Linked DNA regions of Coturnix japonica. The protein of the gene in region 5 purifies or fractionates together with the protein of the main gene of each other region. This does not show direct contact. Links are inferred from orthologs where the notes say so. Each region holds a gene or a part of one and is shown on either strand. Other genes may lie near its edges. The genes, in order: STX12, VTI1B, STX7, NSF, STX6, VAMP4 and VAMP3.

Region 1 (2,638 bases), on a different chromosome or scaffold from region 5:
TATTGCAAGCTCTTATGTTAATCCCAAGTTCCATCAATAGCAACATCAAGTCACCTGAGTCAGTGAGTGATGGCATCTATTCAGTTATTTCTAGTGGTGTGTTCTGAAGAGGCACTAAGAATTAGGCTGCAAAAGAACTGTAACCAGTGTTTTGTATAACTTGTCAAACTTGTCTTCAGGCCGACATTTTGGATGTCAATCAGATATTTAAGGATTTAGCCATGATGATTCATGACCAAGGAGATATGATTGGTAAGTGTGTTTGGATAAGGAGCTTCTTTTCTAGTTCAGCTGCACTTTCTTTCTGTGTAGTTCAATTTTTCTGATATTTTGTACAAAAAATGTTGTATTTATTTTATTTTAAGCACCAGAAGTCTGAATTGTTTTACAAGTTCTCTGTTTTTTTCCACAGATAGCATAGAGGCAAATGTGGAAAGTGCAGAAGTTCATGTGGAAAGAGCCAGTGAGCAGTTACAGAGAGCTGCCTATTATCAGGTAAATTATGTATGCTTGTATTATTGTAAATGTACAATCAAGTACAGTAACTGTATGCTACATCATTTAAGCTGTAGAAATGCAGTACTATCTCTGCATCAAACTACAGGAGGGATTGTTTTCATTTGTTTTACCTGGAAAATCCAGATAGTTGGAGAGGTTTAGCTTTCCTTTGCAGCCTTGGTGGCAGACCTTTGCATGAAATGTATATTAGGTGGTGTCGGCTTCCCTATTTGTAGTTATCTTGAAGTAAAGCCTTGAATTTGCCTTAAAATGTAACAAATTCTGCTAGCTTTGACTTAATTGGATTTCTTAGACCTAAAACTAAACCTTCAGTTGTGGCATATGCTGTTTAAAGACCTTGTGAAATTGCGTACTTGGTACTTCCCTTGAATAATGACAGGTATTGAGTGCTCTGGTTCACCATACTTAGCAACACAAGCTGCCAAACTTGCTTTTTCTTCCTCATCTGCTCATGGTATCAGTGGCTTTTTCTTCTTCTTTCTTTAGAAGAAATCCCGTAAGAAGATCTGCATCCTGATTCTTGGTCTTGCTGTGGCTTCTATACTCGTAGGATTAATTATCTGGTGGGCAAGAGGGTGAAATCTTCACATGGATTCTTGTCTCATTGCTGAGAATATTTTCCCCCAGCACGAAAAGGCAGACTAGTTTTGGAAATGAAACCACCCTGAGAGAGCACAAGCTGGAACTACTTCTAGTAATAGTTATTAGCAACTAATGTGCAGACAACTAGTATTTGGAATTAGTGAACCATGGAGACAGTATTTATCAGTTTATATACAAATTATATTGTTTTATGTAACTAACATCTCGTGGTTTTGCTTTCTGTAATGTATTATTCCCTGTCCCGACTGTATGCTGAAGTGTGATCGATAATTGGAGATGTCTTGTTTCACTTGACAAGTGGCAGACATTGAACTTTTTATATGTACAGATAACTTTGTTGGACTGGAATAAGAACGACATTCAAAGAGGGCACAACACTAACTTTCATTACCTTAATCCAGCAGTTTCTCAAGTCTCTGGTATCTGCCCCATGGTTTTATTAGTCTCTGGGTGGCTGTGGTTCTAAATTTGATTGAAAAGATGCCACTGCAGATCTGAAAAGCAAGAAGTATGCATGGGTGATAGATGGAACAAGTGTGCTCAGGAACCGGTCACTTTAGCCTTGAGACTCATTGCTTTTATTAATTTTTGTGCATGGTTGGGGTTGTTTTGGTTTATTTTAATGCACCGGTTGAGTACTGTAAGTCCTGTAAGTCTAAGGACACCCAATCTAGCAGTGCAATGTCATTGAAGAAATGAGCTGATGGTTTATCATTGGATGAATAAATCTCTTCCATTTTTGGTTCTCAAAGCACTAAAACACAAAGCTGAGCTCCCCACTTTGTAGCCCTGAACTGACACGCACTGAGGGATCAGCAGTCTGTCCGGTATCGTGTGGTAAATGCATCATACTGACCCATTTTGTATCTAACCCTTTATTCCACGTCTCCTGCGTAATAAAATACATGTGAAAGCTGGGAAGGGGGAGGGGTGTTCTCCCAATAAATTGCACATTGGTTTGCACTACTTACGCCATCATTCCATCTAATAACTATCAATAAACACTTTTAAAGGCCTTTGTCGGAGCTTCTTTATTTTGCAAGATTAAACAGCGATAGAATCAGGTTCCTCTAAGCCCCGCTCTGTGGAGAAGCTCGTTCCCGCCCCTCTCGGCGCGGAGCACGCCGGGACCGCCCCCCGCCTGAATGGGGCAGATGCAAGATGGCGGCCAACGCGAACTCGGCCGGAGGAGGAGGCGGCCTCTCGCTCTTCGAGTGTCCCAGCTGGTGAGCGGGCCGCGGCCGCACGGCTCTGCGCTGCTGCGGGGCTCGCAGAGGGACGAGAGCGGCTGCCCGGCCGGGTCGGGCCGAGCCGGGGGAGTGGCGCTGGGGCGGGACGAAGCGCGGGGCTGCGGCGCCTCACGGCCGGGGGGATGGAGCCTGGCCGAGCCTGAGCGGGCCGAGGGGAGCGGGGCAGCGTTGGGTCGGGGGTGTGGGCCGGAGGGAGCCCGGCTCGGCGCTGCGGGGCCCAATGGGGGCGGCTCGGGCCGGAGTGGTGCTGTGTGAGGCCGAGATGT
Region 2 (4,115 bases), on a different chromosome or scaffold from region 5:
CCTGCAAGGAGGAAAAAGAACACAAGCAGATGTCACACTCTGTATGGACAGGACAACTTGGCACTTGCAATGTATTGTGTCCTATGGAACTGACTTCAGTCCAGGGGAGCAGCTGACAAGCACAACAACTCTTGTTGTAGATTGTTAGCTCCAAGCCAGCTCAGACCTGTTTTATGACAGGGAGATTGCACATCTGAAGTGCCTCTGTCCAGCTTCTCCCAGGTGAGGTGAGTGCACTGCAGCCCTGGTATGACCAGGTTGTATTTGTGGCTGTATGGGAGCACTAGGGCCTACACACGCAGGGTTGCTTGGACTCCAGCCAGAGCCATTGCTGGGTACTTTCACTGCCCTGCTAGTTACCAAAAAACATTTAAGCCAGTTTTGAACCATGAGCGGATCTGAGCCATTTCCCATCCCCAAACAAGGTAGAGCCCTGTGACTCCAGGCACTTCCTTGGTCCTCCCGAGGTGGCCACAGCGCTGAGTATTTCTACACGCTGAGACACGGGGTCAGGGTTCAAGCAGTGAATGCAGCTGGGAACTGGGGAACTGCACCTCAGGGGTTACAGCCCTGTCTGAAGGACCTTCAGAATGTGGCTCTTAGAAACACGGCCCCAGGCTGCAGACCACGACGCGTGGTGCCGGATCGCATCAGCCGCACCCGCTCGCAGCGTGACGCCGACTTGCCTCTCCGGGCGAGCTCCCTGGCGGTCTCTTTGCCGATGCCGGTGTTGGCGCCCGTGATCACCGCCACCTTCCCGTCCAGCCTGGCCGCGGACCCGCAGCGCCCTCCGGCCACGTACCGCCTGCAAGAGAGCGGCGGGACTCGACGGCGGCTCCGAGCCCGACATCGGACCGGGCACCGCGACACCCCGCTCCGCCCGCTCCGCCCGCTCCGGTGGGGCCACGGCTGCCATTGGCTGACAGCGCGGCTCCCGGCGCGGCGGCCAATGGAGTCGGCGCGGCGCCGTGGGGCGAACCCGGGCCACCGGCTCCCACCGCCCCGTGCTCGGCTGAGCCGGACCCCCCGCGGGAGCGGCTCGAGCCGGCTGCCGCCAACCGCACACCGCCGTAACAGCGCTGCCCGAAAGCCCTTTGTATGTCTCCAACCCCCAGAAAGGAGCCGCTTAGCCCGGCGGCACGGAGCCCCCCGAGGCGCCCCACAGCCCCGCACCTGACGTAGGGCGCCGCCGCCAGCAGCACGAGGGGCACGGACACGGCGGCGCCCAGCACCGCGCCCCAGCAGCTCAGCATCGCCGACGGCTCCATCCGCGCCGCGTCCGCCCCGCACTGATCGCGCCCGGAGGAGCCGCCCCGCCCCAATGGGAGCAATGGGCGGTGCAGGGCGGGGCGGGGCGGAGCACCACGAGGCGGCGCTGCGACTACGGCTCCCAGCGGGCAGCGCGCCGCCAGGACCCCGCTCCGCCTGGGCTGCCCCGGTGCCGCGGTCAGGCAGCGCGGGGCGTCTCATTGCGCAGGCGCGGGTCCTCGCGGCCGATGGCGGAAGCGGCGCCGGGCAGTGCCCCGTACGGCCCATCGCCATGGCGGAGCGCGGCCCCGCGTCCTCCGAGCACCTGGAGCGGCTGCACGAGATCTTCCGCGGGCTGCACGGGGAGCTGCGCGCCGTGCCGGAGCGGCTGCGGGGCGGCGCGGCGGGTGAGGCGGGGCGGATCCGGCTCGGCGCTTTCGTCGGGTTCGCGGAGGTTTCTCCCGCAGCGCGGCGAGGCCCCGCGGTCCGGCCCGGCGCTGCCCGAGCCGAGGGGCTCGTTTGGCTCCGCTCCCGGCGCACAGCGCTCGGCTGTGGCGTAGCGGAGAACGGGAAGTGGGCGCGGAGGCGGGGAAGCACCGGCTGGGTGTGAGGGGTGCGGTGTCCGGGCTGCCCGGTTCAGTCTAATACCGGGTTAAATGCAGGGTCACCATCCTATTCGTTTCCAGAAAGTACAGTGGGAGGCACTTAAAACTATGGGCCGCAGCTTTCAAGGCCAGAAGGCAGAGCAGGCTGCTCACAGAAGCTGTGGAGTCTCCTCCAGTGATATTCAGGACCCTCCTGGATGCTTTCCTTGGTGACCTGCAGGGAACTGGCTTTAACAGTGGGTTGGACAGGGTGATCCCCTGGGGTCCTTTCCAAACCCTGCAGTTCTGTGATTCAAAGCTGCCTTTGTTTTATTGACAGTCACCAAGAAGGAAAAGCATAAAGGAAGGGATGCCCCTTTGTGAAGAAGGGCCCTGGAATCTGGGCATCGTTTCTATACAATTAATGGGAGGAGGTTGCAGGGTAGGGTGAGGGTTATTTTGCTGCCTTGAAATACAAACTCAACCCTGTTGCTGGGGAAAGAATGGGGAGAGACCGTGCTCACACATATTGAAAAATGCCCCACAACGCTTGAATTTCAAAGAACAGAAATTTCCTTGCAGAAAGGAGGGTTGTCAGTTTTGTGGACAAAAGTAAACTATTGCCAGGTCCCCAGATCTGTGATATTCCCAAGGAAGTATAACAAGGGAGTTCATGTGAAGTCAGGAATTTATCTCTCTTTTGAAGGCATTTGTAAGGCATTCTTTGCTGTCCATGCCCACATGGGTCTTCATTTTTCACACTGTCATGAAAAGTCTGTGGGACAACAGATGGTGTCCTGTGTACTCCTTTGAGATGATTGGTAACTTCCCAGACTGCAGGGAGGACAAAATGTGTCATTGTTGGACCATCTTCCATGTGGAAATGTTATCTTACAAGCTAATAAATTCTCAGGTCTGGAAGCAAGTGTTTTCTTCCTTCCAAACCTATAAGAAAGCATTTTAAATGGCATTGATCAGTTTCTGCTATAGATCCCATTCTCTGAGTAAACAGTTAACTGCCTTTTTCAACTGATTGTTTTTCGGTTGGTTTAAATGAGATCTCACAGATGCTGAGAAACATGTGGGTAATGTTTCTGTGGCTGAAGTGCAGTGCTGTACTGATCCAATTGTGGGCACCCAAAGAGGGTAAAATACTGCTTTTTCAGCACTGCTTCGGGTTTCAATGGGTTCGAGACAGCAGCAGTTGTTCTAAGAGGGCACTACATTCACCAAAGGAGTGGAGTGTCCTGCGTGAGCAGAATGGTGACTTTAGAAAGTTGTTTCCTTGCTGTGTGTGCCCGTGTCCTTGCTAGCAGCCTGGCTGTTCAAGCAGTTGAATCAGCACAAATGTACGTGGCAGAAAAGCAGGGGAGGAGCTGAGGATAGTCAATGTAGGAACCCCATAAATCAGCATTTCCTGCAGCGCTAAACTTATGTTTAAACTTATCTATCTTAAGTGCACTACAAGTCAAACTCAGGGGCTTAATGGGGATTTGAACTGAAAGGGAAGGGCCCTGGTGTGGCCACGGCACATCCATAAGATGAGCTGGTTTTAGGTGTTTTGATCTAACATCCAGTGTGGTTCCAGAAAAGAGAAGTATTTGGACAACCTGATCTGGTGTATTGATGGTGTCTTCCATCTCAGAGCTCTGCAGGGTGCTTGTCTTATTTGAGTGGTTGTTTTTAGTGAACTGCTAGGATGCAAAAACCCGATTTGCTGGAAATCAGGATTTCAAGTTCTGCTTTAGTTTTGTTGGGGTTTATCTCACGTGTTGCTCTTTCTTGTGCAGAGGAGAAGAAAAAGCTGATTCGGGAGTTTGATGAGAAGCAGCGTGAAGCAAATGAAACGGTAAGTTTAAGCCTGGAATTGTGGCCTTTCTGGCCACTTAATATGTTGATTGCCCTAGAAAGGACAGTATCCCAAGTTTTACTTTAATGTTCTTATGTGAACATAATATGTGAATCCCTTCATCTAGTGTAAGTTCTGGGTACAGCTGTTTATAAGAATGAATGTGATGCTTTAAAATAAGTGTTCTTTTCTTTAAGCTCCGGGAAATGGAAGAAGAACTGAAGTATGCTCCTCTACCATTCCGCAATCAAATGATGAGCAAAATCCGGGCATACAGAAGGGACCTCTCCATGTTCCAGAGGGAGATGAGAAGCACAGATTTGGGACTGGGCCCTGGAAGTCAAGGGGATATGAAATACGGAATCTTTTCCACAGAAAATGAACAGAGTGTGAGCATCTGATAGAAACTGTATTTAAAGCTTCTGTGATTATGA
Region 3 (3,500 bases), on a different chromosome or scaffold from region 5:
TTACTGAATTAAAATGCTAGCCTTTTAATTGTCTGTTTCTGCTTAGATACTTGAATATATTCCCATCCTTTGTAAGAAACCCTGGGTTTTGTCTTTAAGTTGGCAAAAATATTTACAAATTGTTCTTTAATGTTTCAGTGAATCTTCTCAGTTGATATAAAAAATAAAAAGTTTATATATATATATATATATATGTTCAATATCATTTTCTGTCAATTTTTATTGTTTTAGAATTGCTAAGCTAAAAATCATAAACTTATGTTGGAAATGTCTGCGCACTATTAAACTTTCTCTTCTTCCTCTTCACAAACAGCTGCTGAAATACAGAGAATACTCAGTCAGCTTGGAACACCACAAGACACACATGAGTTGAGGCAACAGCTGTGAGTATTTCACATGAAAATATTTAATTTCATTGCATTGCAGACAGTTTCCAGGGATATGATTAGATATGGGTTGTTTGGTTTTTTCTTAGGCAAGGTGCTTGTCCTCACTGAGAAAGGCAGGTATAGGGAAATATTTGAAATTTACACGTTGAGGTGCCTTTTTTTATTCTTATTTAATTTTGAATACTTTTGGTGCACTGGTCAGGTGGCATGAACGCATGCGTTGCCTACAGTATCAATATATGTACAAAATTTTTGCTGTATGTTAGCTAAGGGAAAGCAACAAGACTAAAAAGCAATGTTGTTGTTCAGTATCTCTCCACTTCTCAGCGCAGTCTGATGAACCAGTAATATTATTATTTTCTTTTTTAAATCAGCCTCCTTTACCAGATAAAATTCAGCAGCATAAAAGCAAATAACCATTGTGTTGTGCTAACCCTATGGATGGGAAAGTTGCCAATCATTACTGTGGCTATTGCTGCATATAGTTGGAATAAAAAGAAAATGAGTAGCAGGAGGAAATATGTATTGAACCAAAGGCATTATATTGTATCATATATGTATATATATGTATATGATATGTATATATCATATTGTGTGAACAACCAGCTTGCTTCATAATAACCTGAGCTTGGAGCTCATAACAATAGCCAGGTACAACCCACAGTGGATGTCCTGCTGGAGATCGAATGCATAAAGATCAACATATGTGAGTTATGCAGTAGCAGGCAAGATCTAAGCATAATTTCAAAACTAAAAGGACTAGAAACTGCTGTGAATTATAGTCCATTTAGGAAAGTGCTAACATGATAAGTTTCCTTGAGGTTTTCATCTATGGTCATTTCACTGGTCTGAACGTTTTGCCCTTCCCTTCATGTAATGAAGTTGTCTGGGAGAGTTATTTGATTGCTTTCAAGTATTTATGTTGATTTTTGCGAACTGCTTTCCAGTCTGGGAAAGCAGGTAAAAAAAACTTGAGTTACTCCAGGAAAAAAAAAAAAAAAAAAAAAAAAAAAAAAAAAAAAGTGAAATTCATAATGAAAGTGTGTGGTAATAGCAGAAGTGAAAAGAAACATAAAGTGCAAGTAGAAATGATGCTGAACACAAGGCTTTTTAAAGCACAATTTAAGTTTTTAAGCAATTAATTAAACTTTCCTGTTAAGTTCACAGCTGTTGTGTCATGGGAGAATACAAATCTCTGGGTATGCTTCCCAATGACTATCAGGAATTGGCTTTTCATGGATTATGTTCATGGAGTTATATTCAGGTCCAGTGTTCTTCCATACAGGAAAAAACTGTGTCCTTTATACAGTTATTCTGAACTTCTTTAACAAAATAAGAGCCTGAAAAAGATGATGGAAAAGCATCTTTAGTTATTCACAGTAATTGGAACCCTGTTGCTGTGCATTAGGGAAACAATTACAATATTGCAAAAAGAAAAAAGTGGGAAAGGTAAGTAGCTGTGCTGTCACACTGAGAAACATTCCCTCAGTGTCCATGTCACCTGGAATCCACGGTGATCTGTTATGATTTTGCACTGAAGAACAGTAGAAGGATGGCATCATGCAGTTCAGTGAGTGTTTAATACCACTGTGTTTCTGAGAACTGGTAAAACTCCAACAAAATTAGCCAGCGGTCTCTAATGAAACTTTGCATTGTTTTTAGGCAACAGAAACAGCAGTACACAAACCAGCTTGCCAAAGAAACTGACAAATACATTAAAGAGTTTGGATCTTTGCCTGCAACAAGTGAACAGGTATAAAACCAAAGAATATGGCTTAAAGTTTGATTATCATGTTGGCTCATATAGAGTATTTGAGAGACTTCAGTTCTGCATGCCCAGTTTTTGTATCCTTCATCTGGCTTTCAAAGCACTGTTTGGTCACTGAGGACATTTGCATAGTAGGGGCAATTACAACACAGTATGTTTTGCTGTATTCCAGACTTGTTTCAAATATGTTTTTAAATATCCGAATTGAGTTTGACTGAGAAGGCAGGACTCAAGACAGTACATTGTGCCTGTGATTTCAGCTATCTGGGCACTCAGTAAACTGTAGCAGTGTTGCTGCTGAGTTTAACTCATCAGTTTTGAGTGCTTCCAGTGGTCAGGAATTACTGCCTACCTTAACCATGTGGCAGGTGATCAGATCTGTTTGCACAATGTCCAAATAATTTTTGCAGAGCAAGTCTGATCTGCATAACTCAAATGAGCAGATATGCTATGTCTTGTCCACAGGCTTTTCTTTTCTTAAGAGGGATGGACAAGAGCTGTTACTAGAACGATTTGTGCAGCCTCTGAGCTGCTTCATTCCCATATCTGTGAGAAAGACAGGCAGGAGCTTACATGCAAAGTAGCTGTTGTCATTAGCATGCTCTCAACTTTCATCCTTTGATTTCTTATAGTAACAAAATCCAGGACTTAGATAAGGGAAGAGCAATAGGACGCCAGAAAATATGAACACAGCTTATTGCCACTCAGACAATTTTTCTGATCTGTGACTTGTTAGCAAGGAGCGCTTAGGAAAATGAATTGTCCTGAAACACTCATTTCCAATGGCAGGCTGTGTTCCATGCATGCTCTGCCTGTTGTGAACTTCTGGTAGAGTTAGAGTTTGGTCTTACTATATAACCTCTGGTTGAGGCAAAGATGTTTTTTATTCTTTGTCTTGTTGCTGAAAAGTTGGCAGTGGGATATTTTGCTGTTTAATTCTAATCCTTTTATCATGAGCATTTTCATCAAACACAGCACTAGATGAAATACACAGATGTTGGGTTGATGAATGGCAAGTTATGGCCTCTCACAAATTTGGAAGGCAGGGTTGGTATAATGGATATATTTAGGGAAATAAAACTGAGGCTTTCTGATGTGCCTGATATAGCCATTCCTTCCTTGGCATCTTCCTCAAAAAAGTAAAAATAAAAAGACTCGAAAGTTAGAGTAGCTATCTTCCTAACAGATTTTAAGGATTTGAAAGGGATGTGCGCCCACTTCTGGTTGCAGTTCAAAGTACATTTCCAGTGTTTATGTACAATACATGTGGAGAGCTTTGTCCCTGCTCATTTCTTATGCTTGAGCACTATTTCCCTCATTCATTCTGCTTTGCTCATTTTAGA
Region 4 (3,500 bases), on a different chromosome or scaffold from region 5:
GCTCACAATACCTCTTGTGACATTGATTTGACAGGAATAGCTTTTAATTTATCTGAGCCCCATTCATTCCTGTGCAGAACTGGTTCTTCACTGACAGTATGTGTTTGTGTTTCTTGACTCGTAGATGCCTGAAAGTTGACTGATGGATTCTTCTTAACCAGACCTCTTGCTTTTTCTGCAGGATTTTCTCTTCCTTTTCGTTCTTTACCCTTCCTTTTCCATGGAGAAATCTCTGAGTTTATTACTGTACTTAACCAATGGATCACTATCTCTGTTTAAGATTGTGGTGGGGATGAGAAGCTCCTCATAGTGATGTTCTCTTTAAACTTCGATACACTAACAGCCTGAAAGAGAGAGAGCAGTGTGTGCTGATATTAGAAAGTGTTCTGTATTGAGCTGTTTTTCATGTTGAAGTGTGAGTTCATCACTGAAACATTAAAGAGTGAATGAAATTAAGTCGCAATTGAGCACTGGTGAGAAAAGTGCTTGTTCTCTAAATGCATTAGAGTACTTCAGGTTTTCTAAGGTTTCAGGTAAATCTAATATTCTTGAAGTAAAACAGTTTTTTATTTTCAAATCTACCAGTATTGGAAGGACCAAGACTAAAGGAGAGGGTGGTACAGGACTCTGTACCCTCCAATTCACCACTTGTGTTCAAAGTGGAGGCTTGTGCTGATGAAAGCTGCTCTGGGCACAGTCCAGATGTGCTGTTTTCTCATAGGCTGCAGTGGATGCAGCTTATTCCTGGTCTTTTTCCTTGGGGTGTCCTGTAGGGCTGGTGAGTGGGAGTGACTGTGGCACGAGTTGTTGTTCTTTGTCTTCAAAACAGAATGGAAAATAAAAAACAGATCTGCTGGAAACACAGGATCTAGGCAAAATAACTTATATGTTTCCTCTCTTCTACTTCCTCACTAACTTTGTAGTATGTGTTAGTACTGTGACTTTTCTTATTAAGGCAGAGTATAAAATATTCCAGCATAAGGTTATTGAAATTGTTGATAAATCACAGCTGAGAGTTACATGCTGTTTATCTAAAATTCTGTGAATCCAAGGGTAAACTTTCTTGCTTTCACATTGACATGTGAAACTCAGAAGTTCTCTGCACTCTTGTGTGTGTTGCAGGTCAAGTTGCCCAGGGCTCCATCCAGCCTTATCTTTTGTGCCTTCTTCCATATTTGTCCTAAAAACTTGTATTCAGAACTAGACTCATTAAAGCTCAATGTAGGGATAGAAAGTTAAACATTATTACCTAATAGTCCATGATTTCTGATTCAAGAAGCAGCAATCTCCACTGTCTACACCTACACTGGGAGCTGAGCTTCAGTTGGGTAATGTTGGCAGTCATCAGGGTTTTGAAGGATGCTTCATTTCTCTTTATATATGAAAATTAAACTCAGATAAACCTTCCTGTAAGGGAAGGTTGTCCTGATTTGTGTTATGTATCCCTGTAGGGGAAATGAGAAATCACAGAAGCATTATTTTGGAGAAGATCTCCAATATCACCAAGTCCAGCCCCAGCCCATGCTCACCATACCCGCTGACTGTGTCCTTCAGTTCCGCATCTCCATGGTTCTTGAACACCTCCAGGGATGGTGCCCCCACTTCCCTGGCTCTTTCCTATGCAGCCCTGTTTTTAATCATGTTCTCTCTTCTTCCAGGCTGCAAGCACGTAAAAGGCATTCTGCTATATGGACCTCCAGGCTGTGGTAAAACTCTTATGGCCAGACAGATTGGCAAGATGCTGAATGCCAGAGAACCAAAAGTGGTCAACGGGCCAGAAATCCTCAATAAATACGTGGGCGAGTCTGAGGCCAACATCCGCAAGCTGTTTGCTGATGCAGAAGAGGAACAAAGAAGGGTAATGCAAACATGGATAAATAGCATGGTCAGGATGAATGTGCCTAAAGAATGCCTGGAAAGGAAGTTTGTAATCAGAAAATTGCTGCTTGCATTAAAAGACTGAGTCACAGCTTCACTTGTGATTATAGTTATTCCTTGCAAGTCACTGAATATTAGTGTTCTACAGATTCACTTGGTGTTGACTCAAAGCAAAAAGAATATTATAGAAGTGAAGAAGGTAGCTGGTCTTCCAGGTAGCTGTGCTGCAAGTGAACAGTTTGTTTAACTTTCATTTTAAGGTAATTCATTAGTGCCCATCCTGCTGTGTTTTATATTACACGGTGTGTCAGCTGTTCAGAAAGTGCTTAAAAATAGGTTTGTAAACATTTTGCTCCATTTCTTTTTCGCTTTTTTCTTGTTTTAGTTTGGAGACAGTCCAGTTGGAGTTAAGACACATAAAATAGGATGGATTTCAAATAAGTTTTCATGACTTCAAGTTTTTGAGTTACAGGCTTATGAGTACATAAATCTACATTATAGACCATTGATTTTTCCTCAGCAGAAAACTAATGGAGAAGTACAGTTATGGATCATTAGTTATGGTACTAATGGACAAGAACTCTCTATCTCAAAGCTAGAGAGCATGGATCTCCCGAAGTGTAATTGGAGGCAAAGATTGTTTTTCCCAGATTTGTTGCTTTTGTCCATTACTTCAGCTGGTTACAAAAAGCCCAGTATTTAGTTTGAAGCTGTAAAAACCTTTTTTCCTTTGTGCTGTGGTAACTCTTCATATCACTTTATTTTCATAAGAGTTTCTGATAAAGGAAATAAGACATCAGGTAAGTCGGAGTTAAATATAGGAAGGTCTTTTCAGAAGACATCAGCCAAGGGTGCTGTATCTTCTGCTGTTGTTTATGACAGCACTGCAGATTGTGATGGTGCTTGACATGGCTTTATTCTGCACAAGATTAATTAATCAATAAGCCAGCTTTACATGGGAGCCCACACAGATGTAAACAGCCTCCTTCTCTCTGGTTGTTGCAGTGTGACTGGAAGCTGTGAGCTTCTTTCCTTTGCAATAACACACCTGCTAAAATGGGGGATGGTCCTGATGACAAGTAGTGAGATTAGAAAGGTCTCCAAAAGGTTGGTATTGTAATGACTGGTGTCTGAGCAGATTGCCAGGGACAGCACATTCACCTGGTATTAACGTGGTCCCCACTGACCACAATAGATGTTTTAGAGGTGGAATTTGAAGGGGAAAACTTCATAACATGGTCACAAGAAAAAGTATCCTGTTCTGTGACCAGCTGCATCTGCTTCACCTTTGGTGAACCTGGAAATAAACAGTTCTGTTCTGATTGGCACTGAACAAGTTGACTCCTTGAAACATGGAGAATAAAGTGACATGGCAAGCTTGACCTGGGATGTTTCTCGCATTGGGTACATCCATCCAATATTTCCAGCACTGAGTGCAGCCATCCCACTTGGGTTGGTTGTATGTACCAGCCAACCCATTTTGAAGGACAGCAAGATGTTATTGGGAAGGGATCTAATGCACAGCATGCGATATCCAAATCTCTTTTGGATATTGATTTTGGAAATCAATGTTTTGTGTTTTGCTGACTGATCTTCTTTTGAAGTTATGTTTTGTTAAATGC
Region 5 (3,500 bases):
CCTCGGAAGTTCAACCTGGATGCCACGGAGCTGGGTATCAGAAAATCCTTCATCACCAGCACGCGGCAGGTGGTCAGGGTAAGAAGCAAGGATGGGGAAAGAGAAGGCAGCTTGAGTGGTTAAAAAAAGCCAGTAGGGTGACTAGGTCAGTGCTGAACAGGAGAGCAGAGAGTAAGTCTCCTACCTGCCTGTCCTCAGGCTGCCTCCTCATCCCCACATCACATGTTCCCACCGAGGACTGCCTGACTTTAAGCTCACACTCTTAAATATCAGTACTTCACAGAAAGGTGGGCCTGGCAAAGCTCTGCTTGTTGGGCCGCAGCTTCACACAACTCAGTGCTACAGCCAGCATTAAACTCAAGTTCAGTAGCACCTGCAAGAGCAGCAGCATTTATTCACATAGCTGTTAGAGAGGATTCAGAAGCAGGAAGAATATTTTAACAGCTCGGTGGTAATAAATAGAGAATAAAAGTCTCTCTGAAATCTTCACTGTCTGCTTACACACTGGTTAGGAAGTTTTCTCTCTATTAATTGCTACGCTCAGTGCAGCTTAATTTCTGCTTTCCCTCATGGCTCAGATGTTCCTCCTTGACAAGCTGCATTGCTGTGGCTAGCAGCAAGCTTGTCATCCTACCTGCAGTCCAGAGGCAGTTCTTAAGGCTCGCTGCCTGGGAACTGATCCTGAAGCCCCAGCAGCCCCAGCATGCAGTTATTTGACTTAGGTTTTCCATGGAGAGAGTTTGTGATAGAAAGCAGCTTGTGCATTAAAAGTAACCAGGTGGGATCTGCTGCTTGTAAGTGATACATCTCTGAGCAGTAAAACATACCTACGTGTCTTCTGGTGACATCAGAACTCTGCTGGTGGGTAAAGTGAATCAGCACCTGCTGGATCATATTGGCTTCTTGCATATCTGCCCTATAGAAACTGAACTGGTTTGCACTGGAAGTAGGAGCCTCCTGTGGCTGTCTTCTGTAGGAGAGACAGTCAGAGAGGAGGGCCACAGGACAGGAAATCTATCTTGTCCTTTGCAAGATTAAATCAGATACAACTGGGAATGAAATGCAGGCTACGGGCTCCCAAGACCTTCAAGAACGTATCTTCTTTACCGTCTGTCACTGGGAACATTAAGCTGGTATTATACAAATCAAAGTGTTTCTGGCTGAGCAGTTTAATCTAGCTGTAGATGTCCCTCTTCACTGCAGGGTAGTGGGACTTAATGACCTATAAAGGTCCCTTCCAACCCAAATGATTATCTGATTCTATAAAAATGAGTAGTAAGTAAGGGATATTTTCAAAATATCCCATTGCTGTTGATTCTAGTATTGAATAGCAATGAATTGCAGTGGAGCTTTTAAGAGCATTTTTTCCACAGACCCTTCCCTCCCTCCCCACAAAGAAATCTTTCTGGGTATAGACAACTTGGTAGCAAACTGAAGCTGAAAGTCACCTCAAATCCAATGCTTACGTCCTTCTTCTTTCTTTGAACAAACAGGAAATGAAGGATCAGATGTCAAATTCCTCCATGCAAGCACTGGCTGAAAGAAAAAACAGGCAGGTGAGAATCAGAAGTGGGCAAGCTAAGTGAACGCAGTGGTTATTTGGTACTTTAAAGAGCTCGAAGGATTTATCAGTTTTAACAGCTGTTTTGAGACGTGTTAGGTGAAGCTTTCGTATCACTTAGTTTGGACACCCGCACCATAAGGCAGAGCATCTAGCATGGTTAAAGCTCCTTTAAAGCTGTAAGTACCATATATATCCCATTTTGTAGCACATCACCTTACAAACATTTGTTCTGGGAAGGGGCTTGCACGCTGCAGCAAAGCTGTGTGTTTGAGCCATGTCTGTCTCACTGATCTGAGAGCATGGGTTCTGTCAGGCTCGTTGCTGCCACCCTCTTTCAAACCTGTCACTCAGAGCAGTAAGTCACCACTCACCATCTGTCTCCATCTTCAGAAATGCTTGGGTACAGCCATCAGCATTGCATCACCCTGCAGAAGGGGGAATCTCCCTCCACCTCATGAGGAAACAGAATCCAATTCTGTAAATGTAATCCTGTGCTCTGCTGTATTTAGGAGCCAGGATGCCACATCCCTTCACAAATAGCTGCCTCACATGATAATTAACCTTGTAAGAAGATGGAAGAAGCTCAAGGAGTCTCAGGTTGTCTGCTTTTGTAATCTAAGGAATAGAAATAGATGCAGCTTTTGCTTCTCCCTGGCTAGTGAGACTGTAAGGAGATCTTTGAGCTGACTTCCAGAGCTGCCTCTGTTAGAGCTGCCATGCCCTATCTGGCTGCATCATTCTTTATCACTTGTGGCAAAAATGATAAGCTGCAAGAAGATACTGAGAAGCACAGAGTTGGTTTGTCAGCCTGTTACAGGCTTAACTGACGTGCTTGGCAAAAACTTGGAGAAGCAAAGTCCCTTCCTGTCTTGCTCAAACAAGCCTGTAGCTCTCTCTAAGTTTTGCTGCTTTACTTAAAACTGCAAGCTGCAGGAGACCATATGGCCCAGCTTGTGTGGTGACATCTGGTCAGGAAAACTCATTTCCCCTTGACATCTTCCCTCCCCAACCCCTCGCCTTCCCTTAAGTCCGCAGAGCCTTAGCTGAGCTGGGCTACAGCAGCTTCTCCAGCATGTCTCTGTGTCTGAGAGGCCGGCTTTCAGCTAACAGTTACCTGATCCTCATGGACTAAGGCTGGCAAACACAGACTTCCCTCGGGAAGCTGCATCAGAACTTCCTTCCAGGGACCAGATGTCCTCAGCTGGAAAGCCACTTCTCTGCAGGATTTGCACTAGCTTCTCTGTTGAGGTCGTAGAGCAGGTAGAGACTGTAATCTTGCAGTATGGCATACTTGCAGCATAACAGGTAACCTGAATCATAGAATGTAAGTCCCGCCTTCAACACTGCTGTGTTTATATTCACTGTTTTACTGTCAGATCATCTGGTTAAGTACTTTATCCAGACTTTCAGCCCTGGTCATTAGCAGCACGGTGTTCAGTTCCATCTATACATCTGTTAACATGACGTATCTGGATACTTCCAGCGTCCTCCTAGCACACAGTGCTGCATCTTGAACAGACCTTTACTAGTCCTTCGGGTGGAGCAGGCCTCCTGCTTGCACTGTCTGTCAGTCGTGCTCCAGCTCTCCTGTCGGTGGAGAAGTTTTTGTGCAATAATCATGCAGATATTTCCCATGCTGGCATTTGGCATTGCATTGTTTTAGTTTGTGCCGGCACTCTGGCTGAGCAGCAGTAGAGAGGGAGGAGAAAGATGCTGTAGGCACGTGTACAGGAGCGTTGCCTTGTCCTCCTTCCCTGAGACCAGCTGTGAGCAGACACAGAGGTGTTGCTAAGGGACTTCTGCATCTGTTTAGGCACTCCTGGGTGAAAGCAGCAGTCAGAACTGGAGCTCTGGACCTGACAAATACAGCCGTTTGGACCGGGAGCTGCAATTAGCAAATTCACACTTCATTGAGGAGCAGCAAGCTCAACAACAG
Region 6 (4,046 bases), about 990 kb from region 5:
GCTCCCCACATTAGTGTGCTCCATCCCACGCCGATGTGGCTGGCAAACAGCCCGTGTATGGAGATGGGGAGAGGGCTTGGGGGTCCCCATGCTGGGTCCTCGCAGTGGGTAGGCGCTATTCTAAGGGGCAAAGGCAGGTGGCCCAGGTGGGGGCACAGGCTGCAGGGTGTAGGGGAGGACAGAGGGACCCGATAGCGCGGGGAGGATGTAGGACTCGGGGCGCAGAGGATGCCCGCAGATTCCCACCCCCAGCACTGACCTTTGCTGGCGGAGCGCAGGGTGTCGCGGCCGGGCACCCCCCCCGTTCCGGAGGGACATTGCGCGGCCCTGAGCCGGGCGATCTCCCGGGCGCTGCTCTCCAGCCGCCGGCCCAGCTCCTCTTTCTCCCTCTCCAACCTGCCCTTCTCCTCCTCCAGCCGCTCCTTGGCCCGCTGCAGCTCTTCGCACCCCCCCGGGGCCGCTCGCTGGGGGCCCCGCGACCACACTCCGCTCACATCAGCGCCCCTCGGCCCCGAGCCCCCCATTCCCCCCACACCTCCCGCTCCCTCCAGGCGGCTCAGACGGGCGGTGAGCGCGGCCAGCTCGTCTCTCAGCTGCGCTACGGCACCGGCCTCGGGGCAGCTGGCCTCGCCGGGACTGGCCACCGTGAAGCTGTAGGTGCATCGCCCGCTGCCGTCGTTCTCTCTCCGCAGCAGAGCGGCGGGGTCCCCGCGGGCGCTGGGGGCGATGCCCCCCGCCAGCAGCAGCAGCGACAGCCAAGCGCCCGGCATGGTCCCTATCGGCACCCCGCTCTGCCGCCGCCTTTATAGGGCCGCGGGAACCTTCCAGACCGCCCGGCCCCCCCGTGCCGCCCGTTGGCAAAGCTCCGGCACCGCGGGGTGGCCCAGGCCAAACTATTCGCGGCCGCGGGCCAGGGCTGCGGCGGGAGGAGATGGACGGGACGGGCAGGAGGGGACCCCATGGGAACACGGGTGTCGTAACGGGGGACTCAGCGCCGCGACAGCCCGCAGCGCAGGGGGGGCTGCCCGCGGTGCTGCCCCAGAGCTGCCTTCCATCAGCTCGGGGCTGTACAGCTGCCAGGTACGGGGGTCCCATAGCACTTATGGGGGGGGGTGGATAAAGCAGGTGGAGCAGCGCCGGGACGTGGAAATTCCCCGCCGCAGACACCGGCTGCTCGTGGGCATCGCAGCCCCCGTCGGGCCGCCCGCCCATATACAGACCCCGCCCATACACAGACCCCGCCCACACACAGACCGCGGTGGATCGGGTGGATCGCTCGGCACTCGTTGGATCGCAGAGCGGCTCGATGGCTCTGCCCGGTTCCGGTGCTGGAGGCCATTTGCCGGCCCGGCCCGCTGCCCGCTGAGGGGCCGTGTCCGTCCTCCCGGTTCCGGTTCCCCGGCAGGGATCATGCCGCCCAAGTTCAAGCGGCACCTGAACGATGACGAGGTGACGGGCTCGGTGAAGAGCGAGCGGGTGAGTGCGGCCGGGCCGGGCCCGCTGTGCTGCAGCTCGGCCTGAGGGGCGGCAGGGCCGGCAAACACCGCTGGGTGCTGTGACAGCACACACAGCTCACAGGGTACAGCAGCACAGCTCCCGTACCTGGGAGGCAGCGCTGATGGTCTCCCATGAGGGCTCAGCACTGCCCTGTGCTCTGAAGGTGCTGGTGGTGTCCTAATGTCTGGGGTGTCATGTGAAGAGGCTGACACTGATGGTGTTTTGCTTTGTTCACAGAGGAACCTTTTGGAGGAGGATTCAGATGAAGAGGAGGACTTTTTCTTGTGAGTTTCTGAGCAGACACGGGGCGTGTGATGTTTGAACCGCCTGGAGCTCTAAGGCTGGGAGTGCTGATACCAAGAGCTGCTCCCTGCCCTATTGTGTACCTTTAGGTCTTTGATTTAAACACATGTTTTCATTGCATCTGCTATTGTAATTCCTGTCCTTTTCTGCTGCAGGAGGGGACCTTCCGGACCGAGGTTTGGACCCAGAAATGACAAGATCAGGCAGTAAGTTCGTGTTCCTCTGTATCGCTCACATAATATTTTATGCTGATGTTACAAGCTCCTGCTGCTCTGTTAGCAGACTATTTTTCTGTAGTTCTGATCAGTGGCTCGTGCTTTGTTTCATCTGATTGTAATTTCACAGCCCGTTAAGGAAAATCAAATTTGTTTCACGTTATCAAGGAGCTGTGCTTTAATAGCAGAAGAGGGGTAGAACTTTATCACAGTGTCATGGTGGAGTTTCCAAAGCCCGTGGTATATTTTAGTGATAATGAGGTAGAGGTGACCTGGAGATGAGCAGTCACTCAGTGGGGTCGAAGCAGCTGGAGAAACAGGAGCCCTGTACAGCTGGAGCAGGATCATTGGCTGTAACAGGGCGAGAAGAGGGAAGGAAGGGACACTGAGTCCTCCAAGTGAGTCATTTCCTGGGTGATGCTTATTCTAGGCTCTGATTAGCCCTGCTCCTTCCAATTAGAGAAGTGATGGTGACACTTAATGGGAAGGACGGGGTGCTCAGAGACCTCTGTGTTGAGTTGTGCTGTTGTATTTGCTGGCATCCACGAGGCAGAACAGAAGTCAGAGACCGATGACTGGACGTTAATCAGGCCGTATTGTTTTGTGTGCAGCCTTGGGGTTACTCTTCATTAGGAATGTTTTCTTCATGCCTTGAATCAGCCAGTGCATCTCTGAAATGAGTCATTGGGAGCTAGTGTCAAAGAGGCTCTTCTAGGTGAGACTTAACTAGGGACAATTCTGACTTTTCCAAGTCCATGGTGAAGTGATTTAATAATGGTATTTTAGGAGTTTGTGGAGTTGAATTGAAATTCCTGACCAAAGGAGGCAAAAGGATCTTTTCAGTCCAGAAAGCGAAGTTATTTAGGTCTAAGCAGGTTGGTTTGGCAGGGTTTGTTAGCGCAAACATGTGAGTAGGGGTTGTTGTGTTGTTGTTGTTTTCTTTATGTGGAAATGGGCAGCTAATAAAATCCATCTTGGCTCCTTCCGTTCATATTCTCTGCCCATAAAGTTCATTCATGGTCACTGGAGAGCAGCGTGACTGAGAGGCTGGTGGTGTCTTTGGGATCTTCTTTGGAATTTCTACACACTATTTAGTTTTCTGACCCTCTTTATTTAGTTTCTGACCTTCCTTGACTTTCTTTGGTCTTCTCTGAGCTGGACTTCAGTAAGGCTTTTGTCATCGTCCCCCATAACAGCCTCATAAACGGGTTGTTGTTGCTGTGGGATGGATGGGTGGACTGTGGGGCTGGGCCAGTTGACCTCCACAGCTCAGCCATTCTCTGGCTTAGTGACTCAGTGACAGCTGTAGGCAGTGCTGAGCTGTGTGCCTGCTCACTGCGTTATCTTGAGAGGCAAAGTGCATTTGAGTTATGCAGGAGGGTGGATTGGCTGCTGTGTCCTGTGTTTTCAGTGGGCCTGTGCTCTCTCTCGGGCATCAAGATGCTGCTGGTAGAGATGTTCAGGTTGTGGCAGGGAGGCAATGTGGATACAGCCTTCGTTGTGTGGTGCTGTACTGGTCTGAAGTGAGTGAGGATGACAGTTGTGAGTGGTGTCAGCTCTGTAAAGTATATGGGAGAGTTAATGCTGGCCTCTATCCTCCTCTGCTGGAGGGAAATTGCAGAGGGTCTTCCCTGTGCATAGCAGAGAGGGGCAGGAGCTCTTCCCTTCCCATGTGTTGGTGAGACAGAAGGGCCATGGGGGCTTGCAGGGAGCTGAAGGAGAGCACTGCAGCTGTGAACAGGAAGAAAAAAGAAAGAATTCACCAAGGAGCTGTTGGGTTTATAGCTGGACACCAGTCATATCATGACATATACAGGGGCGCAAGGCTGCTTGTCTGGTGAAACAGGAGCAATTTGAGTGTTGGGAGAGCTGAGGCTTAGCTGGGCAAAGCCAGAGAGACTGGAGCAGTGTGTTGCTGGAGGGAACAAAGTGTGAAGATGTGTGTAAAATGAAACTGGTAAAATGGGCAAAGGAAAAAGTAACGGGATCACGGGAGCAATGGTGGAGAACATGGTGAATGTAATGGGCGAG
Region 7 (4,296 bases), on a different chromosome or scaffold from region 5:
GTCTGTTTTGCGAGCGGCAGTTGCAGATCTCTGAACGGACTGATGTCACTTTGGGATTGTTCCTATTGGAAGAATCGTTCTGGCTCGATCCCGGCCACCAACTGCAATGTTTAAATGGAGGCTTCACGTGAAGCCATAAAAACACTCTCACATAAGAAGCTTTTAAACTGGTGTCTTTAAAAGAAGAGTAAAAACAAAGATTGTGGCAAAAAAACAAACACAAAAACAAACCTGGGGTCAGTGCTCTTGGTGCCTTTTCTATAATTGTACCTGTTTTTAATTACTTCTTTTCACTGCCAGCATTGAATTACAGTAGACGTGTGCTATAGCTCATTACCAGAATTATTGTACATTTCTGAATTGCTGCTTTATGACCTGATTCAATTAAAAAAAAAAAAAAAAAAGATTAAAAAAAAAAAGTAAGAAATGCTGGTTCTCATGCTGTGGCTTTGGGCAGCTCATAGCCTCTAATTGCCGTATGGAATCGGGACTTTACCTGTTCAATTGTCCTCACACGCAAAAATAGAAGTGCAGAAGAATCTCCTTTGGAATGAATAGGAAATGCTCTGTATTAATACTGGAGGAACCCTGATATCCTGAGATTGGAATGTTGCTCCACGAATCGATCTCTTTTCTAACGAGAGTAGTGACCTCAGTGCAAATGTTGAACTCCCTGTATTCAGAAAAACAGTTCAGTAACATACAGAGCTATTTCACATTACTCTTCCAGATCCATGGGCCTGGTGGTGTATCTACTAACCCAGATCCTGCTTCAGCAAAACGTTTAAGCGTGGGCTTGGTGTTCGACACGCCAGCAGTTCTGTGTGCTCAGAGCTGCTCGCCTGCTTGAAGCCAAGCGCAGCTTCCAAGTGCTTTGTTGTGTCGGGTCACAACCCTTCAGTGCATCGCGGGGGGTCACAGACTCCCGCTGAAGTGAAGTGATCCGCTCACCCTTCTCTCCATTGTGGGACTTGTGTTTTCACAGCAGACAAACTAAGTGCAGCTTCCCAGGAAAGTTCAGGTTCCCAAGTGCCAGGAGCCAAAACCTCCTGAACCCTCCTGTCTGGTCACGGAATCGCTCCTTTGTGAATCGCGTCTGACAGCAGAAATACTGTGTGATCGAAATGCAGAATATAACATGAACCCCCTCTCTGGTTGCACGCTTATGGCAGTTCCACACAATAGCTGGTGCCCAATGGGGGGTCCCCAAGACTTGCATGTCAAACTAGTATAGATGTCTTCTCTTTTGTAAGTTTTATTTTTGTAACCGTGCATGTAAAGCATCACTGAATCAATGGATCTGTTGAAGAACTCAGCTGCTGGAACCATGCAAAATGTTTTGAATTGCCCTTAAAATATGGAAAATGTTTTCTGAATGCTTTATATTCTTTCTGCTGTAAATTAAAAACAAAGAAAATTTCCCCATACGAAGCGTCTGACTGTTTTTACACGGGACATAAGGGACGTAGCGCCGCCATGGGCCCATCCCGCGGCCTGCTCCTCCCACAGCCCCGCCCTCCCTTCGTCACATCCGGGCTCCGCGGGGCAGCTGCCGCTTCCTGTCGGTCCTTCCGAGCGCTCCGGGTGCGCAGCGGCTCCGTGTCGGCGGCGCGATGTGAGTACGGAGCTGCGGGCGGGGAGCGGCCCCGATGGGCGGCGGGGCGGCCCGGCCGCGGCCGGACGAGCGGAGCAGGAGCAGCGGGCGGCTCGTTACGGCTCGTTACGGCTCGGGCCGCTGATGTCGGCCGGGAACCGCCCGTGGGTGGAGGCTCCCGGGGCGGCCGCGCTTCCAGCCGGGAGAGGCCGAGCGGGCTCCGCTTGGGCCGCGCACCCCGAGCTGGAGGCGGCCACGGCCCTTGGCTGCCGCTGGAGGCGGCGGGGGGGCGTTATCCTGCCCGGCTCCCCGGGACAATGTCGGCGGCCTCGGCAACTTCACTGAAGGCTTTTCTGGAAGCGCTGCCGACGTGGGCAAAGGAACGAGGGGCGGCTTTGGAGGCCAATTTCTTGTGTGCGTTCTGTGTGGAGCCTCAGAAAGCGCTTCCTAAATATTGGCAGCAGTAAAACAGCACAGAGGTGTGAGCACAGGAGTGGTTATTACATCAAATCTGAACTACTACTATTGAGCCCTGTCTTGTTATCACGGGGCACTGGGTGTGGGTCGCTGTGTGCGTCTACTTCCTTAAAATGTAGGTTTGAATTTAGTGCCCAAATCTCGTGCTACAATAAACAATGCTCAGGTTGAACCCTCTGGGTGTCAGGTTGCACTGAACAGCACGAACTTCTGCTGCAGAAAAGAGGAAAATACGGAAAAGCTGCTGGAGTTGTGGAGCTGTACAACAGAAAGTCACTAAAGCTGTGGACAGAACATGAGAAATGCGTACAGACTCCTGCACTGATTGCAGTAATGCACAGTGTTGTACTGGGTAACAAGAATGGGACTGCCTGGGGTTAGGAGCTCAGAGCTGACTGCAGGTTAACTGTTCTTTATGCCAAATGCATTTTCCTTGTGCTTTCTCTTGCTCAATATCAACTGTTTCAGACAACTGCTCTGTGCAAGGACACAGAACAACCATGAAAGTTCCTGTACTTTGGTTATTGGCGTAGAGTTTGTTACTGAAAAACTGAACACTACTGAGCTTGTGCCTGAGAACCTGAGCCCCTTCTGAGCACTACAGGAGTTGCCATATGCCTTAATAGAGACTATTGTATTAGCTAATTGTGACTTTCAGTACATCAGTCCATTCACTAGCAAGAGATTGAGGATGCACTTTGACTTAGACCTATAGCCAGCTGCTAAAACATCACTTTCCCAAAAGGAAATTAAACTTCTCTAAGATTATTCCAGGATTCAAAGTTTCCTGCTTCCAGGAAGGTCAGATAAGTTGTGTGTTGTAAGCATGTCAACTTGAAAGCAAAATCTCTAAGAGAAACTAAGAGGATCCCAATGGCTTTCTTTACTGCAGGTCAGCCAACGTCCCCGGAAACACAAATGTGCCTGCTGGTAGCAACCGTCGGCTTCAGCAAACTCAGCATCAAGTAGATGAGGTAAAAATCTGGTTAGATAAGTGTCATTCATTCCCTTAAAAAATCGGGTATCTAGTATAGATATACCAGCTAAAGTCGCTGTTGTTTGATATGAAGGTGAAACCTTTTACAATTCATCTTTCTTTGTTGTATCTATCACCTTAACTCTTGGAAAGGTTCAGAAAAATAATAATCCATTAATTCATTCCAGCTTGCTGCTTTGGGAAGACAACAAGCTTTGCTTTGACACAGAACAAGCTTGCTTCTCTTCATTAGCAAAGAAGTTTTACCTCTAAATAAGACATGTCCTGATTCCTGAGGAGGCCAAGAGCCAGTTTAGCTGCCAACGCTGTTTTTTGACGTATGGTTGACTGTTGTGCTTGAATGCCTCAAGTCATTCTGGTGCCAGTCAGGAGTTACATCCCAGGTTCAGGGGAATATAAGCACAGTGACTGTACTGAGACTGAGAAATAGACACTAGGGCCTTCCAGCTGCAGGTAATGTTCAGGCTTATGTTTGGATACCCTAAAATGCAAGTTCCTGCTCCTTAGATGAGAACATTTGTTCCCTGCAAATGGATTTGATACTGATTAATAAAGCTGATAACTTACCGATGTAGGTTGTTGACATCATGAGGGTGAATGTGGACAAGGTGCTGGAAAGAGATCAGAAGCTGTCGGAGCTGGATGACCGTGCTGATGCGCTGCAAGCAGGAGCTTCCCAGTTTGAGACCAGTGCGGCCAAGCTGAAGAGAAAGTATTGGTGGAAGAACTGTAAGGTAACCGTGGCATATATACACTTAGAGTATTCACTATCACAGTGAACAGTATTACAGTCAGCATCTCAAAAGGCAGCGGGAAAAGGGACTTCAGGCAGCGTTCATTTCTATAGCATCTAGTTTTAAAGCACTGCAGTGGTGAGGTGAAGTAATCAAATAGATGACCAGCAATGCTGCTTGATACAAGGCCTTGTGTGAGCAGCAATGGCCAGAGGGAAATGCTGCAATAATCTGAGGCTTTGGGGTACAAGAGGAATAGGCCAAAAATATATATATTAATGTGTAAGCAAGCGGAATGAGCTCACTGGGTATCCTTGTAGCTGTCAGCAGAGGTTGGAATCCTCATTGGTGAGCAACAAAGACAACAGAAAGGTCTACCACACCGAGTGAAAGTGCTTTGCAAGGGCTGCTGTCCTGCACTCTGACGGCTATTAAACGCTGCTGTTACATTATGTGACGAGTGGCTTTTTCTTCACAGATGTGGGCAATATTGA

What was found.
Region 1: the proteins of STX6 (region 5) and STX12 purify together in Homo sapiens (affinity purification with mass spectrometry; 4 studies listed by BioGRID and IntAct, counting the BioPlex papers as one, with this or other methods). This does not show direct contact. The link is inferred for Coturnix japonica from reciprocal best matches to the Homo sapiens genes STX6 and STX12.
Region 2: the proteins of STX6 (region 5) and VTI1B purify together in Homo sapiens (affinity purification with mass spectrometry; 3 studies listed by BioGRID and IntAct, counting the BioPlex papers as one, with this or other methods). This does not show direct contact. The link is inferred for Coturnix japonica from reciprocal best matches to the Homo sapiens genes STX6 and VTI1B.
Region 3: the proteins of STX6 (region 5) and STX7 purify together in Homo sapiens (affinity purification with mass spectrometry; 3 studies listed by BioGRID and IntAct, counting the BioPlex papers as one, with this or other methods). This does not show direct contact. The link is inferred for Coturnix japonica from reciprocal best matches to the Homo sapiens genes STX6 and STX7.
Region 4: the proteins of STX6 (region 5) and NSF purify together in Homo sapiens (affinity purification with mass spectrometry; 3 studies listed by BioGRID and IntAct, with this or other methods). This does not show direct contact. The link is inferred for Coturnix japonica from reciprocal best matches to the Homo sapiens genes STX6 and NSF.
Region 6: the proteins of STX6 (region 5) and VAMP4 purify together in Homo sapiens (co-immunoprecipitation; 5 studies listed by BioGRID and IntAct, counting the BioPlex papers as one, with this or other methods). This does not show direct contact. The link is inferred for Coturnix japonica from reciprocal best matches to the Homo sapiens genes STX6 and VAMP4.
Region 7: the proteins of STX6 (region 5) and VAMP3 purify together in Homo sapiens (affinity purification with mass spectrometry; 5 studies listed by BioGRID and IntAct, counting the BioPlex papers as one, with this or other methods). This does not show direct contact. The link is inferred for Coturnix japonica from reciprocal best matches to the Homo sapiens genes STX6 and VAMP3.

The regions. Positions count from the first base shown.
Region 1 is NC_029538.1:1,338,156-1,340,793, forward strand, and holds the end of STX12 (syntaxin-12), read left to right. Parts: intron 1-179; coding exon 180-252; intron 253-412; coding exon 413-495; intron 496-1,005; coding exon 1,006-1,098; 3' UTR 1,099-2,138; downstream 2,139-2,638. Other genes in the region: PPP1R8 (nuclear inhibitor of protein phosphatase 1), read left to right, coding at 2,284-2,348. UniProt on the Homo sapiens protein: SNARE promoting fusion of transport vesicles with target membranes. Together with SNARE STX6, promotes movement of vesicles from endosomes to the cell membrane, and may therefore function in the endocytic recycling pathway.
Region 2 is NC_029520.1:27,588,912-27,593,026, forward strand, and holds the start of VTI1B (vesicle transport through interaction with t-SNAREs homolog 1B), read left to right. Parts: upstream 1-1,315; 5' UTR 1,316-1,321; coding exon 1,322-1,655; intron 1,656-3,622; coding exon 3,623-3,681; intron 3,682-3,878; coding exon 3,879-4,070; intron 4,071-4,115. Other genes in the region: retinol dehydrogenase 12, read right to left, coding at 1-1, 687-805, 1,174-1,268. UniProt on the Homo sapiens protein: V-SNARE that mediates vesicle transport pathways through interactions with t-SNAREs on the target membrane. These interactions are proposed to mediate aspects of the specificity of vesicle trafficking and to promote fusion of the lipid bilayers.
Region 3 is NC_029518.1:51,543,053-51,546,552, forward strand, and holds part of STX7 (syntaxin-7), read left to right. Parts: intron 1-313; coding exon 314-383; intron 384-2,051; coding exon 2,052-2,142; intron 2,143-3,500. UniProt on the Homo sapiens protein: May be involved in protein trafficking from the plasma membrane to the early endosome (EE) as well as in homotypic fusion of endocytic organelles. Mediates the endocytic trafficking from early endosomes to late endosomes and lysosomes.
Region 4 is NC_029542.1:656,256-659,755, reverse strand, and holds part of NSF (vesicle-fusing ATPase), read left to right. Parts: intron 1-1,658; coding exon 1,659-1,858; intron 1,859-3,500.
Region 5 is NC_029523.1:5,884,356-5,887,855, reverse strand, and holds part of STX6 (syntaxin-6), read left to right. Parts: coding exon 1-78; intron 79-1,493; coding exon 1,494-1,556; intron 1,557-3,377; coding exon 3,378-3,500. UniProt on the Homo sapiens protein: SNARE promoting movement of transport vesicles to target membranes. Targets endosomes to the trans-Golgi network, and may therefore function in retrograde trafficking.
Region 6 is NC_029523.1:6,871,390-6,875,435, forward strand, and holds the start of VAMP4 (vesicle-associated membrane protein 4), read left to right. Parts: upstream 1-1,246; 5' UTR 1,247-1,410; coding exon 1,411-1,476; intron 1,477-1,734; coding exon 1,735-1,781; intron 1,782-1,955; coding exon 1,956-2,006; intron 2,007-4,046. Other genes in the region: MYOC (myocilin), read right to left, coding at 260-770. UniProt on the Homo sapiens protein: Involved in the pathway that functions to remove an inhibitor (probably synaptotagmin-4) of calcium-triggered exocytosis during the maturation of secretory granules.
Region 7 is NC_029536.1:234,708-239,003, reverse strand, and holds the start of VAMP3 (vesicle-associated membrane protein 3), read left to right. Parts: upstream 1-1,496; 5' UTR 1,497-1,613; coding exon 1,614-1,615; intron 1,616-2,963; coding exon 2,964-3,045; intron 3,046-3,643; coding exon 3,644-3,802; intron 3,803-4,280; coding exon 4,281-4,296. UniProt on the Homo sapiens protein: SNARE involved in vesicular transport from the late endosomes to the trans-Golgi network.